2 linked regions of the Oryzias latipes genome follow. The protein of the gene in region 1 purifies or fractionates together with the protein of each later gene. This does not show direct contact. Links are inferred from orthologs where the notes say so. Each region holds a gene or a part of one and is shown in the gene's direction. Other genes may lie near its edges.

Region 1 (2,209 bases):
AGTACCAGCACCAGAGCAGAGACGCCAAAACAAAAGCCCAAACGCTGAAGCTGCACATTTCTCCTGCAGGTATCGGGCTGGTTCTGGAGGAGCTCAGAGAGGCGGGTTACGAGAACGACACCCTGATCATCTACAGCTCAGATAACGGCATCCCTTTCCCGAATGGCAGAACCAATCTCTATCACTCCGGAACCGCAGAGCCCATGCTGGTGTCGTCTCCGGAGCGCAGGGAACGCTGGGGGGAAAGCAGCCAGGCCTTCGTCAGCCTGCTAGGTAAGGGTGATGGGGGTGGGGGGTGGTGAGGGAGATGGGCTTCATGGTAAATGAACATGTGACTCCCCCACAGAGCGGCTGAATCTTTTCATCCAGATCATTTAGAAAGTTTCATTAATCGATCAGAATAACTGGGACCAATTGAGATTTCAGACAATCCTCCTACCCCTCCCAGGTCTGCCTCTGCGGGAGGGGGTCAGGGAAGACAGGAAAGCACATCTGCGAGAAAACCAACGAGAAGAAACAAAGTTTCTGTAAGAGAAAGAACCTGAACGTGCAGAACCCAAGTCAAAAGATCAAAAAGAATAGAAACTGCAACAAGACATGAGAAACAGAGCAGGACCCCCCCCACACACACACACACACACACTCACAGCATGCTCAGCCTCCAACTCAGAAACCTCTGTCCACTCTGATTTCCTGTCAGATTGGCTCCTGACTGATAGAAGACAGTGGTCAGAGAACGTTTCACTGACATTCATGCACCGTCCTTACAAAGTTCTTCCTAAGATTGCCGACGTTTCTCTTCCAAAAAGGAAAAAAAATCAGCTGAAGTCTTCCTGGTGGAGCTCATGGGACAGAACTGCAAGGAGAAAAGACCAAACTTCCAGACCGGACAGAAATACCGGCGTGGTTCAGGAGAGCTGTAGAAAGATTTTAATGTGACGCTCTCGTCCTTCTTTTCTCCTGCAATGCTCTTGAACAGCCACAGGGGGGCGACCGAGGACGGGAAAAAAGCAGCTTGGAGAAACTGAAGGGATAAAAGCAACCTTCATTCAAATATAGTTGAGATAAAATGTGACAAATCCACAGATTTCTGATGTGACTGCCCCAGAAATGTTTTTGCTGATCTTTTCTTTGCTCATACTCTTTTGTGTTTTTTGTTGTTGTTGTTGTTGTACCACAGACATCACCCCCACCATTCTGGACTGGTTTTCTGTGCCGTACCCCCTGTACCGCCTCCCCGGCAGCCCAGCGGCAGTCCTCCTCACCGGCCGCTCCTTGTTGCCTGCTTTGGAGGCCGAGCCCACAGATTGGTTTACAGTGTTCAGCAGCCAGTCCCTGCACGAGGTCGGCCCACCTCCTGCTGCTCAGCCCTGTAGGAGACCAACAGCCCCCCCTCACTGCCACGCTTTTCTCGTTTCAGGTTACCATGTACTACCCAACTCGCTCCGTCCTCCAGGGGGCGTACCACCTTCTCCACAACCTGCACTACCGCATGCCCTTCCCCATAGATCAAGACCTGTATGTGTCCCCCACCTTTCAGGACCTGCTGAACCGCACCAGGAGCCGTGAGCCCACCCACTGGTTCAAGAGCCTGGAGCAGTATTACTACAGGGAGCGCTGGGAGCTGTATGACACCAGGTCTGTCCCACTCTGGGAGGGTTCATGGATGAGAAATGATGTAGAAATGAAGCACTGATCCAGAGAATATCTACAAACATTCATCTGCTCCTCCTCATGTTTGTGGGACATCGTAAGGAACAAATCTAAGACGACATTAATGCCTGACATTAACTGTAAAAGTTCAATGTTGGTCAAAAAAGATGATTAATGTTGGAAAAAGCAAAATAGTCATCAGACGAGCCACGAATGCTTAAAAAAATATTAAATCTATGGATGAACTCTGAATCGGGTGTTTAAAAAAAAAAAGCTTGATGTGTTTAACAAAAAACATGTGATGGACGTGTGCCTGAATTTAGAGACCCACTCAATAGAAATCCTGTTTTTGGTGTTTTTAACATGTTCCTGTGGCACATTTCTCAGGATGGAAGACGTAAAGAAATGTAAGAAATTGGAGTATTTCTATGTTGAAATCGTGGTGAGCAGATGCAGAAATGCTGTTGGCTAAAGCATGTAGGTGTGAAGTTTAACCTACAATCGGCAGGCTCCCGGCTCCGCTCCATTCTGATGCATCCACTTTCAGAATAACAGA
Region 2 (3,500 bases), on another chromosome or scaffold:
GGGGTTTATACAAATCTACACTCTAGTTTCTTGAAGCTATATAACCTCTTTTTGTGATAGTAAAACCTGTCCAACACAAAAAGCCTTCAGCTCTAATCTGTTTGCTCAGCTGTTGGACAGAACAAGTTAAAAAAAAAAAAAAAAAAAAAAAAAAAAAGAACAAGATATTTTGGTGTTCTTGAATATAACCCAGATATAAAACAGTTAATTAAGTGAACTAATAAAGATGTTTAAACGTAAATAAACCACACTCATCCTCTTTTATACTGAGCCCAGGAACTGACGTGGGTAAAATAACACTTAAATTTCTGCCATGTTTATAGTAAATCCACTAGATATGAGTTGGGAAGTCATTTGTTTTGGTGCCAAATAGAAGTTTAAACAGTAAACTGATTCTTGTCAGCGTTTTGTAAGTACGTTTTTTTTTTTTTTTTTGTGCAGAAAGATGTTTATGTAGTGTATATTAAACAAACTAGCATTAATGGTAATCAGTCATTAACTCAAATTTTTTACTAAATTTTAAAATAATTTTTGAATTATATCACCTCTAAAAATGGAAATGCATAAAAAAGGAGATAATTGTGTGTGTGCATACAGCGGGGAAAATAAGTATTGAACACGTCAACAATTCTCTCAAAAAACACATTTCTAATCGAGCTATTGACACGAAATTTTCACCAGATGTCGGCATCAACTCAAGTAATGCACACATAGAAAGAAATCCAAACATTTATGTCCATAAATGAAGTTATGTATTCGACTGTTTTCTCCATGCAGGAGGCGTCTTGAGGCTGTAATCACCAACAAAGGTTTTTGCACTAAGTAGTAAATAAATTTCAGTAAGCGTGTTCAATACTTATTCCCTGTGCCATTTCACTTAATTACACATAACTTCATTTATGGACATAAATGTTTGGATTTCTTTCTATGTGTGCATTACTTGGGTTGATGCCGACATCTGGTGAAAATTTCGTGTCAATAGCTCGATTAGAAATGTGTTTTTTGAGAGAATTGTTGACGTGTTCAATACTTATTTTCCCCGCTGTATCTGTATATTTTCCTATATATGTGTATCTGAAACTTAATGAGTACTCATTAGAGGGAGCCGGATATAATAGATAGTGGGTGCACAAGGAAATAAGATTGGTGAAGGGCATGGGAATGAGAACTTATAAGGCTTTTACTTCTTCTCACTCACTTCCAGTTATTTGTTGTATTTTTTCATTTTATTTTGTCATATGTTTCCATTTAAAGATTCACTCCGATCATCTTCTGATCTATTTTTAAAGCCTTCCCAGTGGTCTTTTACTTATGAATTGTTTTTATCCCCGCTGTTGTTTTCTAGTACATAGTTGCAGAGCGGCAGTATTTGATTAGAAATTCGTCTCTTGAGTTGTGGAGGACTGTTGGCGGAGAGGAATCCCGCCCCCCTTCCCTGTCTGCTGCTGATTGATGATTTGAATAACGAAATACTCTGAAATAAATTCTAAGCCTAAATTATATTATATGTTCCCTATCGTCAAAAAAAAGCCACAGTTAAATGTTGAAAATACCTTTTTCATTAGAGTGGGGCTTTAAAAATACGTCGGAAAGAAAACATTTTCATCACCATTTTCATTGTGTTTCTTTTATTTCTGAAGTTTCTCAGTCTAAGTGACATTTTAATGCCGCCCACAGATGGCGTGGATTTCTGGAGGAGAGTTTCTGATGGGAACAGACCAGCCTGGCATCGCTGCAGATGGCGAGGGCCCACAGCGGCCGGTGCACGTGGACTCTTTCCACATGGACATTCATGAAGTAACCAACCGACAGTTCCAGAGCTTCGTCCGTGCCACAGGGTACATCACTGAGGTAATTCATGTTTTCAGATTTAGAAATGAGTTTTGACTGTGATCCTGTCTTTCGTTCAAACGCTTTATCTTTTGTGTCAGGCGGAAAAATTTGGAGACTCGTTTGTATTTGAGGGAATTGTGAGCGAAGACGTCAAAAGCCAAATCAGCCAAGCAGTAAGTCCATTCACTGTTCAGTTTCCATTCATCGCCCAGCAGCAAGCTCCATCTACAGTCTAAACTTAGATGGGCTTTCTTCCATCAAGAAAACACCAACTGAGGACACAGCAACATTTTTTACTGCCCCACCCCGCACAGAACTAGGTGATAGCTGACAGATGCAGGTGGTTATTATGGTGGTTGCTATCGGAATGTGCAGCATTCAAGTGCCAGGGGTGGAAAAGTTCACAGATCCGAGTCAGGTTAGGTCAGGTCCCTGCTTCCTGGTTTCAGATTTCCTCGTGACTTAGAGGAATTCATCAGGAAAGACAAAGTGAGAGCACTCAAAGTATTAAAGCTTTGATGCCTAGAGCTAGTCAAGCTTGTGCCAAATTTAGATTTATGTTTAAATTAATAAATGAACAGGTTTCTTTGGTCTTAAAATGACACATAGAATTTAAAAAGTGTACATAAAAATACTAAATAATTAGGATGGAGTGCTTAAAGCTTTTCTTTACTCCGTTTTCTTTTAATTAGACTTACATTTACATGTTTTTTAAGATCTCCTCATATTATCCTTCCTCAGAGAGTATCTCTTTGCTGAATGCATGTGTCTTGTTTCCTATAAACAAATCCAATTACTGTGATTTTGCAACATCTTGCTTTGGATCTAAAGAGAAATTTGTTAGGAGCAATTATTAGCTAAAACAACAAAAAAGGCCTTTGCATTCTTTACAGGAAGACTGCATGAATCAGTTTTGACATAGAACTTTTATGAAATGTAAAGAAAAGTAAAAGTATTTTGAACATTTATTTCAGATTTCTGTCTTTTTAGATACATTTTTTTAAATATAATGCGAAGTTGCCATATAGGTTACAATCAAAATAAGATAGTATGCTGGAAGACTTTTTCAAGTATCTTATATCTGGTAAAACCAAAGTATATTCTGCTTTATAAAGCATCCAGCGTGTTCATGGGTTGGCTACAGGGGCCTCGACACCACAGACCTCTCCCAGATGAAAGCCAGACGCAGGGAATTCACTGCTTCATCTCAGCTGTCAGGTGCAGCTTCAGCCTGAGAGGCATCACTGAAATCTGTGCCAGCCGTTACTGGAACTATTGTGTAGAGAGTTTGCATCAAACCCGGAAACATGTCTGTTGACTTAAAAAAAATGGAGGAGAAAAACACAATAAAACACCAAAATCCGTTCTTCCTTCTTCAAAACAACAAAAAAAAACAGGTGGCTGCTGCCCCCTGGTGGCTTCCAGTGAAAGGGGCGAACTGGAAGCACCCTGAAGGTCCAGACTCCAACATCACAGACAGGCGAGTACACAGTTCAGGATCCATATTACAACACTTAATTTTCTAACCACTCAGAGTTCATATGCAGACTTTGCTTTATTAAGGGAAACATTTTGATAAAATTGAGTGTGCTCATTAAAGCTGCTTATTGCAGGATGGATCATCCTGTCGTTCAGGTTTCTTGGAATGATGCCTTGGCTTACTGCTC

The links. Proteins that work in one complex are often made in the same cells at the same time.
Region 2: the proteins of sgsh (region 1) and sumf1 purify together in Homo sapiens (co-immunoprecipitation; 3 studies listed by BioGRID and IntAct, with this or other methods). This does not show direct contact. The link is inferred for Oryzias latipes from reciprocal best matches to the Homo sapiens genes SGSH and SUMF1.

The regions. Positions count from the first base shown.
Region 1 is NC_019859.2:28,826,338-28,828,546, forward strand, and holds part of sgsh (N-sulphoglucosamine sulphohydrolase), read left to right. Parts: intron 1-69; coding exon 70-273; intron 274-1,180; coding exon 1,181-1,344; intron 1,345-1,420; coding exon 1,421-1,638; intron 1,639-2,209. UniProt on the Homo sapiens protein: Catalyzes a step in lysosomal heparan sulfate degradation.
Region 2 is NC_019863.2:26,833,809-26,837,308, forward strand, and holds part of sumf1 (sulfatase-modifying factor 1), read left to right. Parts: intron 1-1,677; coding exon 1,678-1,851; intron 1,852-1,931; coding exon 1,932-2,006; intron 2,007-3,230; coding exon 3,231-3,313; intron 3,314-3,446; coding exon 3,447-3,500.